Astyanax mexicanus: one gene and its partner. The protein of the gene in region 2 purifies or fractionates together with the protein of the main gene of each other region. This does not show direct contact. Links are inferred from orthologs where the notes say so. Each region holds a gene or a part of one and is shown on either strand. Other genes may lie near its edges.

The links. Proteins that work in one complex are often made in the same cells at the same time.
Region 1: the proteins of constitutive coactivator of PPAR-gamma-like protein 1 (region 2) and rbm45 purify together in Homo sapiens (co-immunoprecipitation; 3 studies listed by BioGRID and IntAct, with this or other methods). This does not show direct contact. The link is inferred for Astyanax mexicanus from reciprocal best matches to the Homo sapiens genes FAM120A and RBM45.

What each region holds. Positions count from the first base shown.
Region 1 is NC_064418.1:32,369,496-32,377,063, forward strand, and holds the start of rbm45 (RNA-binding protein 45), read left to right. Parts: upstream 1-4,531; 5' UTR 4,532-4,944; coding exon 4,945-5,214; intron 5,215-5,799; coding exon 5,800-5,922; intron 5,923-7,221; coding exon 7,222-7,348; intron 7,349-7,455; coding exon 7,456-7,568. UniProt on the Homo sapiens protein: RNA-binding protein with binding specificity for poly(C). May play an important role in neural development.
Region 2 is NC_064431.1:32,841,204-32,848,510, reverse strand, and holds the start of constitutive coactivator of PPAR-gamma-like protein 1, read right to left. Parts: upstream 3,017-7,307; coding exon 2,543-3,016; intron 1-2,542. UniProt on the Homo sapiens protein: Component of the oxidative stress-induced survival signaling. May regulate the activation of SRC family protein kinases. May act as a scaffolding protein enabling SRC family protein kinases to phosphorylate and activate PI3-kinase.

The DNA of each region.
Region 1 (7,568 bases), on a different chromosome or scaffold from region 2:
AAGACTGAGGGGCTTTAAACGAAAACAGAGGAACAGGGAAACACAGTAAAGAGCACCGCAGCGGACCTTCAGCACCAGAGTGAAGAAATACTGGATTATTTGACCCAATATATAACTGTTCCCCATAAATCACAGCGAGGCTTTGGACTCCTGCAGTCCCCATGCAGCTCCCGGAAAAAAGGACGTCTTTCTTGTGGCTACTGATTCAGTGGAGTGGAGCCACGACCATTCAAAACTAGGTTCGGGGGTTTTTGTTGCCCGAAAGGTTTTTAATTTGTGTGTTTTAATATATTCATTATATGTTATATTGTATTAAAACGTGAGATATAAACGTGAATAATCATAATTTAATAGGAACGGTGAAATATATTATTTTAAATTATATTAAATATCATGCCTCAAAATCTCAGATCTCCCCCTCTTTTCCAGTGACTTTGGTTTCTTCCAAAAGTCTGTTGATGAGAGCACGGGCGGAGCTGGACTGGAGAAACAGGGCCGGTGTTCTGTCGAATTCTGCTACCTTGTCGAACCGTGCTGCCCCAATGTATATTTAACTGTAAAAATACAAAAGAAGCACTGTTTTAGGGCATGTACCCAGTGATATTCCAGTAGATGTACGTTATTAGATTTGGATTGCATAATTCATTGTACCATGGCAAAGTTATAGTAAATATAGCTCATTACAAACTGCTTTTGTATTTATTTATGATAATAAGTGTAAATTTTAGTTTCCATTTACACTTTTGTGCAATGACAGTGCGTCCAGGTTGTTTAATGCACATAAACCCCCCTAATCCAGATTAATTATACATAAAACACGAGAAAGAATTAAATTGTGTAGGTCGGCGCATGCGCAGTACCTTTGGGAAGCATGTATCGATGGGTAGGAAAATTGACAGAACACCGGACTAAAAAAACTGTTCTTAACACACCTTGGGCTGAACAGCTGTATTCACTCAGTCGCAGTTAAATAAACTCACTGGCCATTTAGGAATCACTTAGACCAGAATTATAATAGAATAAACAATAAAATAATAAAATGTTATATAAAATCTAAAAAAAAAAAATCACCAGTGTCAGTGGCTGTCTTTACACTACAAGCCTCAAGTGTTTTTTTATTTTATATAAATTAACCTTTTTGTCAAACAGCACACATGCTCTCAGTATTTTTTGGCTGCTCTGCCAATGCTGGCTGATAATGACAGCACTAAGGGCATGAATACTGGCAAACAGATGCATGAAATCCACAAATAAAGAAATATGAAATTTGCAGTGGCCTTTTTTATGCCCAATCAGTTTGAAGACTGAGAACATATGTCTGCACTCCCCTCCAAAGGAATTGGGCGGAAAAAGCATTATTAAAAGATGAATAATGAAGACTGGGAATTGGAAATCAGTTAATTACAACTTTGTCAGTGTGTCCAGGCCCGGAGTGGCTAATCGAGAGATTCGTGAGGATTCCCGATGGGCCGGCTGTGTCTGCTGTGTACCTTGGGGAAGATGTGGGCAGTTATTAAGGAGTATATCTATGCTGGTGTTTTACCGGAGTCAAGCTATCCGCGCTTCGGAAATTCCTAGTCAAGTCATCCGCGCTTTAATCTTTGATGGGCGTATACGCGCGATTTTACGGTAAACAGACGCGCAGGAGGAGAGCACACACAGAGAAGGGGAGACAGACACGTTTCAATCGGTTAACTTATATTAATTCAGACATACATTAAGCCCAGAAACGAGAAGAAAACGGGTTAAAATAACTCACCTCACTGTAGATTTTGTGCAGTACATTATCTATGTGATATAATACCATAACAATCCCATCGGTTTTTAAGAGAGAGAGAGAGAGTTTTATATTAATATTACTTTTTCAATCCATGCTTCAAATAAAATTTCTCATGAGTTTCCCAAAAGGCCAAAACAGATCCAGTACCTCTTAAAAGAGTCCATCCTAGACTATTACCTCTGCAAATTTGGGCAAATTGCACTGTATTGTTTATTTTATATTAATAAAAAAAATGTATGCATGTTTAAAATTAAATTTCTCATGATTTTTCCATAATGCCAAAACAGATCAATGACCATTTGAAAGAGTACAACATAGGCTATGACTCCTGCAAGTTTTGGCAAATGTCACTGTATTGTTTATTTTATATTCATTTTTTTATTTTTTATTCATGCTTAAAATTAAATTTCTCATGATTTTCCCATAATGCCAAAACAGGTCCACTACCATTTGAAAGAGTCTGTCCTAGGCTATCACCTCTGCACGTTTGGGCAAATTTCACTGTATTGTTTATTGTTTATTTTATATATATATATATATATATATATATATATATATATATATATATATATATATATATATATATATATATATATTTTTTTTTTTTTATTCATGTTTAAAATTAAATTACTCATGATTTTTCCATAATGCCAAAACAGGTCCATGACCATTTGAAAGAGTACAACATAGGCTATGACTCCTGCAAGTTTGGGCAAATTTCACTGTATTGTTTATTTTATATTATATTATTTTTATTTTTTATTCATGTTTAAAATTAAATTACTCATGATTTTCCCATAATGCCAAAACAGGTCCATGGCCATTTGAAAGAGTACAACATAGGCTATGACTCCTGCAAGTTTGGGCAAATTTCACTGTATTGTTTATTTTATATTAATTTTTTTATTTTTTATTCATGCTTAAAATGTAATTTCTCATGATTTACCCATAATGCCAAAACAGGTCCATTACCATTTGAAAGAGTATTTTCTAGCCTATGACTCCTGCAAGTTTGGGCAAATTGCACTGTATTGTTTATTTTATATAATTTTTTTTATTTTTTATTCATGCTTAAAATTAAATTTCTCATGATTTTCCCATAATGCCAAAACAGTTCCACTACAATTTGAAAGAGTCTGTCCTAGGCTATGACCACTGAAATTTTGGGTAGATTTTACTGTATTGTTTATTTTATATTATTATTATTTTTTTAATCCATGCTGTAAATGAAAATTCTCATGATTTTCCAATAATGCCAAAACAAAGAAAACAAAAAGGTCCACTTAACTGTTCCACCATTAAACTGCTCAGCATATTTCTAAACAGTCTAGTCTAGAAATCACCTGTTAAAGACACCTGTGCTAGAAACAGGGGGTGTGAGTTTAAAACCATCACCTTAAATCCAATACCTCAAGTGCAAGGGGCTATCTATAGTGAAACCTGCAGAAATACGCAGTGCTGATAGCCTGAGGAACTGATAGGACTGCCTCACAGTGGCCCTGTGATGGCTTATTGGAGAAAGACTTTACATCTGATACTAGCAAGTATTAAAAATAAACAAAACAGTGAAATTTGCCCAAACCTGCAGAGGTGATAGCCTAGGACAGACTCTTTCAAATGGTACTGGACCTGTTTTCAAGGATTCAAGGAGATTTTACTGTCATTCGTATCACATTTGGTTCATGAGGTGGAACGAAATTGTGATCTCACGATTCAGTTTACACCCAAGAGCTGTTGTTAAAATAGATATATAAATAAAGTAAGACAACAAAATAAAAGAATACAATAAAAATAGAATATAACAAAATGAAGATAAGATAAAATAAACAAAACAGTACAACTTGCCCAAACTTGCAGGAGTCATAGCCTAGGACAGACTCTTTCAAATGGTCATGGATCTGTTTTGGCATTATGGGAAAATCATGAAAAAAAAATATTTTAAGCATAAATAAATTTTTTTTAATTATTATAAAATAATCAATACAGTAAAATTTGCCCAAACTTGCAGAGGTGATAGCCTATGTTGTACTCTTTCAAATGGTCATCGACCTGTTTTGGCATTATGGGAAAATCATGAGAAATTTAATTTTAAGCATGAGTAAAAAATAATAAAAAATTAATATAAAATAAACAATACAGTGAAATTTGCCCAAACTTACAGAGGTGATAGCCTAGGACAGACTCTTTCAAATGGTAGTGGACCTGTTTTGGCATTATGGGAAAATCAGGAGAAATTTAATTTTAAACATGAATAAAAAAGGGAACGCGGTGTGTGTGTGTGTGTGTGTGTGTGTGTGTGTGTGTGTGTGTGTGTGTGTGTGTGTGTGTGTGAGGTGGAGAGAGAGAGTAACGCACAGTGACACAGGATAAGTAACTTTAATCTGATTACTGCATTGGATATAGTAACACGTTAGATTACTCGTTACTGACATCACTGGACATAAGTACGTAAAGACATGTGACGTGGCCAGAAGAACACCTGCGACCGACACCCCAGTTTTAAAATTAATATATTAGGCTTAGCAGGGATGGTTGGCAGGGGCGTAGCAGCAAATTCTGGGCCCTGTACACTCTCAATGTCAGTGGGCCGCTATCCATGCCAGTACACAAGGAACATGAGCGAAAAAAAAAAATCTGGACTTTTCATGGGCCCCTCTCCCTACTTCCTTGATAGTCAGGTCCACTTTTCCTCCCACTACCACGCCCATGTGGAGTGTTACAGACAAGCAGCTCTCCAGCCCAGAAGGTTGATGAACAAACTTGCAGAACAGTAGATCTCAAAACAAGATGAAAGGAGAAAAAATAAACAGAAATGGGATTGAGCCGTAGTGTACTTGTTACTTGACTTCCCACCTCAGGCCAGGAAGAGGACTTTTATTTTGAAGTGTGAGCCGCTGCGTAGGTCTCTGTAGCTAGGGAACCTGCGCAGACCGATTATTTATGGAAGCTAAACTACATGACTGCAACAGAATTAACGTTAGTGTTTTCGGTGTCATTGCGGTTATCTGTTGAGAAATTTAAAACGTTATTTAATTAACTAAAGGTACGCTAAGCTCATTTGTGCAGCTCTGCGGTTTCCATTTCTGAAATCCAGTGGAGAGAACAGCTGCAGTAAAGCTAAACCCTCGGCTAGCTTGCAGGGCTAGCACAACAGCGGCTTCAATATGGAGGAGATCACCAGGACGCCCTCATATCTCGACGAGCCCCCAAATAGTCGGTTGTTTCTTGTTACCAGCAAATCCATCACCGAAGATATAATCCGGGAGCATTTTTCCACTTTCGGAGACATCCAGGACATTTGGGTTGTAAAAGACAAACACACGAAAGAGTCGAAGGGCGTGTCGTTTGTTAAATTCTCCAAGTCTTCTCAAGCATGCACTGCGATGGAGGAGATGCACGGTAGATGCCTGGCTGAAGGAACCAAACCCATTAAGGTGTGAATTTATTTCCATTTGAGTTTTTTTGTTCTCCGTTTTATTGTGGAGCGGTTTGCATTCTATTGTAGCTAGCTTAGCTGAGAAAGCTGTTATGGAAAAGCTCTGTCTCCAGTAGGGCTATTATACGCGATAATACCGATAATATTTTTTAATATCGTGAACGATATTATACCCTGAAATATCGTGCTGTCACCCACCTCTAATTATCACTTTTTATACTACTTTTTTTGCAGTGTTAAGCATATAAAAAATCACACTGTTCTCATTTCCTTTTATGTATCTACTAGAGACGTGTAAGATTGTTTTTTTTTTTTTCTTATTTTAGAATTATTGATCTTAATCAGTCTATAATCACTCTTAATCCGTCTATAATTTCCCCCTTAGTTTACAAAATTAATTAAAAATAAGAACTGGATTCTTGAATCCAAATGTAAGCCAAAAGATCAGTGATATTTGCCCGATTAAAGTCTTACTTCAGTCATTTACGAAACTTTTTGTCTAGTTTTTTTTTTTTTTGCCAATGGATTTTTTACAGTGTAGTCATCTGTTTTTTTTTTTTTTTTTTTTTTTTTGCTTGAACAGGTATTCATTGCCCAGTCCAGGTCTTCTGGAAGCCACAGAGACGTGGAGGATGAAGAGCTGACCAGGATCTTTGTAATGATCCCAAAAACCTTTACTGAAGATGATCTGAAAGAGACTTTTAAGGTACTACCTGGACTAGGGCTGCATCAACATGTGTGTTTGTGACATACACAGCTGATGTTCAGTAATAACACTTTTATTTAATATTTATATAATCCCTAAACTAGAACCACCTAGTGTAGCATTGTGGAGAAATTTTTTAGATTTTTGCTTTTACATGCTTCACACAAAATTGCCATTGCAAAGCACAAGAGTGTGCCCAACTAGAAACAAGACACAGGAGAATAGGGGATAGCTCAAGGGCAGATTTTATCAGCTGCAGTGACAAAGCTACTAGAGCTTGAAAATAAAACGTTTCCTAACAAAAAACATTAAGCAAGAAAACATTGATTTGCCTGGAGTGAAGATAATGGATGGCAATGAAGAAAAGGAAATAATATAATGCACTAAACTAAGAGTAAACCCAAACCTCGGCCCTAAGTATCTGACTAAATTTACAATAAGCAGTGGCAGCCATGTATCTCTTAGTGTCTCTAGACCAAATCTCCAAGGCTCCATAAGCTTCCTAAATAACATAAGTTAAAAAAAACAATGTGGAAACAATATAATAATAAAAAAAATCTACCCCTTCTTCAAACAGCTGCATCTGTCTGTCATTAGGTAGAGTGTTACAGTAAAATAAAATCATAAACATGGCACAAAATAGGAAAACTGAAAGGGAGTGAGCAGAAAAAAACAACCCAACGCTCCGACACGTAACAAGAGGATATGGAACGAGAAAATGAAAGAGTAAAATTAAGAAGTTAATTATAAAAGCCTGGCATCGCTTAAACATCTTGCTCTTCCAGAACACAATAAATCTGTCACTGAATATTTTCACACTTAATCAAACCTTTAGTGTGATTATCTGTCTTATGCACTGTTATTCAATCCCAATAGTAGTAGAAAACATTGTAAAGGCTTATTGAGTGTCTATGCAGGGCAATGATTATTAGGAACACACTCTAGCTCATTTCAGCATTTTAGTGATTTTTTTTTTTTCTTCTTCAATTTACTGATGAGTGGAATCAAGTGTGCTTCAGCAGAATAAAACAGTGTCTAACTCCTACTGAACAGGAATAAATGACCCCTGGTTTCAGTTAGTCTCATTAATATTTTCTGTCAATAATCATATGGCTTTAGATTAATCATAATTGAACACATTTTAACTATAGAAAATTCATCCTCTATTTGCTATTCACTTGTGTGTGTTTGTGTATGGGCTCTGCGTGAAATAAAATCTCAACAGAACTTGTTCTAGATTTTATAGTAAGTTAGTTGTATTTCACAACCATGATGCATTCCATTGTTTTTCCTTTACAGCCCTATGGAGATATCGAGTATGCAATTATTATTAAAAATAAAACTACAGGGGAGAGTAAAGGACTGGGCTATGTGCGGTTTCACAAACCCTCCCAAGCAGCCATGGCTATTGAAAACTGTGACAAAAGTAAGCGGCATGATTATTCTTTTCCTTTACAATTAATCCTGTTATCCTGTTTACGAACGATCCTGTTTAACAATGAAAATTTAATGGACCTTTTTGGATTCATCCAGGTTTTCGAGCCATACTTGCTGAACCTCGGACAAAAAATTCATCTGCCGAGGGAGATTGTCTCACCAGCTCAAGACCGGATCATGTAGCAAGCGAGCAATGCTTAAGTGCCTAT
Region 2 (7,307 bases):
ACCTAATTCTGCACAATTTATTTATTTTCTAAACCATTTTAAACCATTGCTAGTGACTCTGTGTACATTATCTTAGTATATCTTGCTAAAATGCAATATTTAAGTCTAAAATCAGCCTTTTTGAGCATTTATGATCCATTGAAAATATTATATAAGGGATGACTCTAAACCTACGATTTATGAAAAATCAACACAGCTCAAGTCTAGGTAGGTTTAGAAGTTAAATTGTGCAAAATCAGGTGAGTTAAAGCAGGAATAACCGACACTTTCACCATCAAAAGAGCATCTTAGAATTATGGTCATCCCTTTTATAGATTTTCAATGAATCAAAAAGGCTCAGAAAATCTGTTTTGAGACTAAAATCATGAATGTTAGCTAGATATACTAGCTACAAGCATTGGCTAACCTAGTTAGTTACATATTTTAAAGGTTAATCATAAAAATCAACCCAGCTCAAGTCTAAGCTGGTCTTCTGATGGTTAAACTGTTGGTTATTCTGGCTTTAACACACCTGATTTTGCACAGTTTAACTTCTAAACCCACCATGATAGAGTAAAGAACATTGGTTAAACCTAGCTAGTGACTCTCTGCACATTATCTTAGTATATTTAGCTAAAATACAATATTTAAGTCTAAAATCAGCTTTTTGAGCCTTTATGACCCATTGAAAACCTTATATAAAGGATAACTCTAAATCTACATTATGAAAAATCAATCCAGTTCAAGCCTAGGCTTGTCTTTTAATGGTAAACAGAGTCTAGAACTAAAAGTGTGCAGATTCAGCTGTGTTCAAGCAGGAATAACAAACACTTGGACCATCAAAATACCATCTTAGACTTTTACCATAAAATAGGTTAAATTTTTTTTAGATTACTCATGAAAAATCAACCCAGCTCAAGCCTAAAATGGTATTTTGATGTATTTTTCATAAAGTATATTTATGGTAATCTCTTCTATAAGGGTTTAAATGAATCGTAAAGGCTCATAAAGGCTTATTTAAAACGTATCTAGCTACAACTAACAATTTAAGTCTCAAATCAGCCTTTATGATCCATTAAAATCTTTATATAAGGAATGACTGTAAATCTACATTATGAAAAATTAACACGGCTCAGGTTTCAGCTGGTATTTTGATGGTAAACAGACTAACTAGTTGGGTAAAATGCAACCAAAAATGGGATTAGAACTAAAACTGTCCAGATTTAGCTGTGTTAAAACAAAAAGATTTTGAATGGATAATAAAGGCTTATTTGAGAATTATCTAGCTAAACCTCACAATTTAAGTCTCAAATCAGCCTTTATGATTCATTGAAAATCTTATATAAGGGATGACTCTAATCCTACATTATGAAAAATATGTTTATTTAAGTGTTAGCTAGATATAATAAGCTAGAGACATTGGCTAACCTACATATTTTAGGGCTGATTATGGAAAATCAACACAGTTCTAAGATGATGTTTTGATGGATTTTTTATAAAGGATGTTTATAGTCATCTCTTATATAAAAGATTGTGAATGGATCATAAATGCTCATAAAGCCTGATTTGAAACTTATCTAACTAAAACTCACAATTTAAGTCTCAAATCAGCATTTATGAGCCTGGCTCTAAACCTACATTATGAAAAATCAACACAGCTATAGTCTAAGCTGGTGTTTTGATGTATTTATGGATTTTTCCAAAAAAAAGTATATTTTGTCATCTCTTATATAAGATTTTAAATGGACCAAAAAGGCTTTAAAAATTCTGATTTGAGACTAAAATTGTGAATGTTAGCTAGATACACCTAGTTACATATGTTAAGGCAGAATATAAAAAAATCAACACAGTTATAGTCTAGGCTGGTGTTTTGATGGATTTATGGATTTTTCATGAAGTATATTTAGAGTCATCTCTTATATAAGATTTTGAATGGATCATAAAGGCTTATTTGAGAATTATCTAGCTAAAACCTCACAATTTAAGTCTCAAACCAGCCTTTATAAGCCTTTATGATTCATTGAAAATCTTATATAAGGGATGACTCTAATCCTACATTATGAAAAATATGTTTATTTAAGTGTTAGCTAGATATAATAAGCTAGAGACATTGGCTAACCTACATATTTTAGGGCTGATTATGGAAAATCAACACAGTTCTAAGATGATGTTTTGATGGATTTTTTATAAAGGATGTTTATAGTCATCTCTTATATAAAAGATTGTGAATGGATCATAAATGCTCATAAAGCCTGATTTGAAACTTATCTAACTAAAACTCACAATTTAAGTCTCAAGTCAGCATTTATGAGCCTGGCTCTAAACCTACATTATGAAAAATCAACCCAGCTCAGGTATAAGGTGGTGTTTTAATGGATTTATGGATTTTTCCAAAAAAAGTATATTTTGTCATCTCTTACATAAGATTTTAAAAGGCTCAAAGTGCTTATTTAAGACTAAAATCTAAAGAAAGTTAAATTAAAAAGTGTTATTTAGATGTAAGTTAGTAAACACATAAACATCCTCCGGCGAGGCCGGGCTCCACAGCGGCTAGGCTACTCACTCCTATCCGGAATCTGAGCAGCGCCAGGCGGATGCAGTGGGCCATGCAGACCGGGGGCAGGAACCAGACCTTGGGCGGCGGGGTTCCGCGGTTCTGGACGTGGCTGATGATCTGCTGGGCGGTCTGCCGCTCGTTCACCTGCCGCTTGACCCACTCGTGCAGGCGGCCTTTCTCCAGGGCTCCGTTAAAGCAGACCAGCAGCTCGATGTTGCCGGTGAAGCAGGCTTTAGCCAGGGCGGCCAGGTAGCCCAGCATGTGGTTCCACTGCCCGCCGCTGACCCAGTCCGTGTAGAAGCCGCCGTACAGCCGGTGCAGGCAGTTCTCCGCGTCCACCAGCAGCCGGAGCGGCGACTGGGGCGGCCTCTGCCTGCCGCCGCCGACCAGACTCCCCCGGGCCAGCTTCTGCAGCTCCACCGGCACCACGGCGCTCGGGCAGTGCTTCTCGATGTACTCCTGGAAACCTTGGACCCCCATGATGATTCAGTGCGTTTTTAATAAAAAATAAAATCCTAAATAAAGCGAAATAAAGCTGAATAAACCGGATTAAAGGAGCAGAGAGGAGCTCCTGCTGCTGCTCCTCCTGCACCGGAGAAACAGACTGAGCCGAATATTGCTGGAGGAGATGAATCAGTGAATAAACAGCTGTTATTAGCTGTTTTTTGGTGAGTTATTGGTGTGTTTTCTCTTTTTTGGGGGGTTCATGGCCGCTGGCCGCCATGTGCAGTCCTATGGAGCCATGTCTGAGAGAGGGAGAGGGACAGGAGCACCGTGACGCATGAACGAGTCCAATCGGCTCCTGTGAATCGGTTCTTTTGAATCGGTTCTTCTGAATCGGCTCTTATGAGTCCATCCTTTCCTTCTCCTCCTCATTTTCTTCCTCTATTCTTCTTGTCTTTTCCTTCTTTCCTACTCCTCTTCTCCTTTTTTCTTTCTTACTCCTCCTCTCTTCCACCTTTCCGTCTCCTCCCCTCCTCCTTCTTCTTTGCTACTCTCCCTTTCCTCCTCCTCCTCCTCCTCCTCCTCCTCATGTTCTTCTCCTTTTACTTCTTCTCATCTCCTCCTTCTCCTTTCCTACTCTTCCTTTCCTTCTCCTCCTCTCCTCCTTTCCTTTTCTCCTCCTTTCCTCCTGCTTCTCCTTTTCTCCTCCTCACCTCCTCTTCCTTTCTTTCTTCTCCTCCTCCTTCCCAAATCCTTCTTTCCTCCTCCTTTCCTACTCCTCCTTTTCTCCTCTTCCTCTTCTCCTTCTTCTTTCCCTACTCCTTCTCCTTTCCTTCTCTCCTCCTCCCTTTCTCCCTTTCCTATTCTTCCTTCTTTACTTCTCCTCATCTCCTCCTTTCCTTCTCCTCCTCTCCTCCTCCTTTCATACTTTTCCTACTTCTTCTCTCCTCCTTTCCTAATCCTTTTTATCCTTTCTCCTTTCCTAGTTCTCCTCTTCCTTACCTTCTCTTTTTCTTCTCCTGTTTCTTTCCTTCTCGTCTTCTCCTCCCTTCCTACTCTTCTTCTCCTCCTCCTTTCCTACTTCTCTTCTCCTGCACCTCCAAACAGTCAGCAGATATATGGTCATCCTGTTAAATGTGGAACATATGTAAGTAATGATATATATGTTCTACAGTCACATAAGTGTTTTAATAAAGTTGAATTATTTCTACACATACACAAGTGTCAGGTGCTCAGGTGTTTTGTGGGCGTAGCCAGAGTGATGTAATGCCAACATCTTTAAAACATTTCCAGGATCTCTGGAAGCTTTTTAGAGGAGGATTCTTTCGTCTCCTCTGGTATTCAGACAGATGGCGAGATGCCGTATAATTTTTAACAATTTTACAGTATTTTCCAGTATAGATTTGTCTGTAAATTCAAATAAAATAATATATATAAATACGCAATTAAAGTATAAAGTAATGAAATAAAGGGGGGAAAAGCCTTCCCAAACATTGTTTCATCTGCATATATGCTTATTAAAATAATGTAAATATATTTAAGGTAACTTATTTCAAACATATGTCTCGAATCTCTACATGCATCATCTTCATACTAGGCTGGGAATTAAGAATCAGTAAATTGATTAAATCAGACATTCGGCTCATTAAAACATACAGTTCCAGAGAATCGATTCAGTAAAGTGAATCGAACGCTCCATTATTAGTGACGCAGGTTGTGAGGAGGAGCCCTGACCTGGTGCTTTAGCATCACATTAGTGGGATAAAAGTCTGTTAAAGGACCAGTCCAACCTTTATTCCAGTTTTCACGTCTTTTCAGTTTTATGTTTTGTGAAATGCAGCCAGCAAAATAAAGATATTGTGATGTAAAAGAGAAAAAATCCATACAAGACAGTATGGTTCAGCAAGGCTTACAGCACTTGTGAGCGCAGGGTGGATGAAACTAATGATGCCTTCAAGTCTTACTCAGAAATTCCTACTTACGAATTTGGGAGTCGTAATTACGAATTGACATGCATTCGAGTGTTTTTTCGTCTGGTAAAAATAGATGCTATTTGGAAAATCCTTTTGCTTATATTTTTGATCTATTATAATAAAAAACAGGAGGTTTACTTTGCACTACTCTGAGAGAATGAAGTGAATAAGACATGCATTAGTTGAGTAATGTTTTTTTAATAACATTAGAACCGTAAATCTTATTAGACTTTTATGTTTTTGCATGTATTGCTAGTGGTTTTATTAATTAACTAATAGTTAACTGCTACCAACCATGGCGCAAGTTATGATGGAGGATTTTGGGGGTCTTACCCCCCAATTAACCCTTTCATAACCTGCGTCCATTACAATGGACTGCATCTATTTTCATTTGTTCTTAAAATGTTCTGTGGTGCATAACACTCTTTAGCCCTATCTGGACGGGAATAGTCTCTCTGGGGGACGTCTGTGAAAAATATTGAAAAAATATATTTATACAGTGATAAAACTCCTGCATTTAGACTGTAATCGAAAAAACAAGAGGACCAGTAAGTTTTTAGGCTTTTTTTTCTCGGCACATGACATGAGTATTGTTCAGTAGCTCCTCCATTTCCGCTCACTGTTGTGTTTTTAATGTGGATCTCTGTGGAAACTGTGGCGTGCCGAAAGTGTAATTACGGTGCGCGGCAGTGGACAAATAGCTATTGTATTAAACGTGAGAAGACGAAACTCAGAGATGTGCGTCCGGACGGGACTAAAATTACCGGAGGAGCACGGAGTTCAGAGAAAAACAGTAGATAATTCAGCCTGTAATTTTCTCAGAGGACGTCTGAGAAAAACGTCCCAGATGAATAAACCCCCCATAAAAGAGAAAAATACCCCAGAACCTGCTGAGAAACAAATCTCTTTCGGATAGAGCTTTTGAGACATTTTGTCCATGGGAATAGACCATGAACCAGAAAATAAAAAAGTTTACAAGCCATTGGAACTGAAGTTTAGCCCTGCCCAATGCACTGGGGAAAAACAGCAGCTTTTAGAACACTTAAAAAAATACCTTCAGCAATAGCTTATGAAATAAAAAAGTCGATATCAAATATATATATATATATATATATTTTTTTTAAACAGACACTCCCAATGCAATGGGTATGTAAAAAGTAGTGGATTAATACAAAAATGACAAAATAATCATAGTAATAATAAAAAAAAGAATTAGGACCAAGCGGAAACGGCCTGTTTCCCTTTAGACCGCCCACGAGCCTTGTGATTGGCTCTGCCGTTTGTTGCTAACGTGTGATTGGCTGTTGCCGTTGTCCCTCCATCTGACCTGCACCTGGAGCTGCACACCTGTGTTTAGCTAATTACAGGAGCTCGTGTTCATCTGATACTGTAAGTTATGAGCACGCTGAGCGTTTGTTCTGCTTTATATCAGAGTTTTTTTCATGTTAATATTAGAATCTGTGTGTGTGTGTGTGTGTGTGTGTGTGTGTGTGTGTGTGTGTGTGTGTGTGTGTGTGTGTGTGTGTGTGGTAATTAGGCAATTAGGCGGGGGGGAGAGTAAACATAAGCGACTTCTTTAATTATTAGTCAAAATAATCCAGAATTTCTGCTTATTTGTACTCAAGATAGTGTATAATTTAATGTTAATGAGGTCTATTGATCATACATTCCAAACAAATAAGTGTAAATAGTGAGTTGGAGTGAATTCCACCTTAAATACCGCTAATTTATATACTATTCCGCTTTAAATGCTGCTGCTAATTGACCATTCCTCCTTAAATGCTGCTGCAAAGTTACAATTCCGCTTTACATACTGCTGCAAAGTTACTTTTGCATCTTATATACCGCTAATTTACTATTTCACCAAAAAATGCAGCTGAATTATATTCCGCCTTAAATACCGCTAATTTATATACTATTCCGCCTTAAATGCTTCTGCTAATTTACTATTCCACCTTAAATGCTGCTGCTAATTTACCATTCCGCCTTAAATGCTGCTGATAATTTACTATTGTGCCTTTAATGCTTCTGCTAAGTTACTATTCCACCTTAAATACTAGTAAATTACCCTTACATATTAAATACTGCTAATTTACTACTCCACCTTAAATACTGCTAATTGACCATTTCCCCTAATATTTTGCTAATTTACTATTGCACCTTATATACTGCTAATTTATTTACCATTCCACCTTTAATACTGCTGCTAATTTACTATTCCGCTTTAAATACTGTTAATTTATTATTCCACCTTAAATGCTGCTGTGGCGACACAGTCTTAAGGCCATACCTATGGAGGAACTGACCGTCTTCATCTTTTAAGGTGGAACGGAACAATGCTGTGTTTATACAGT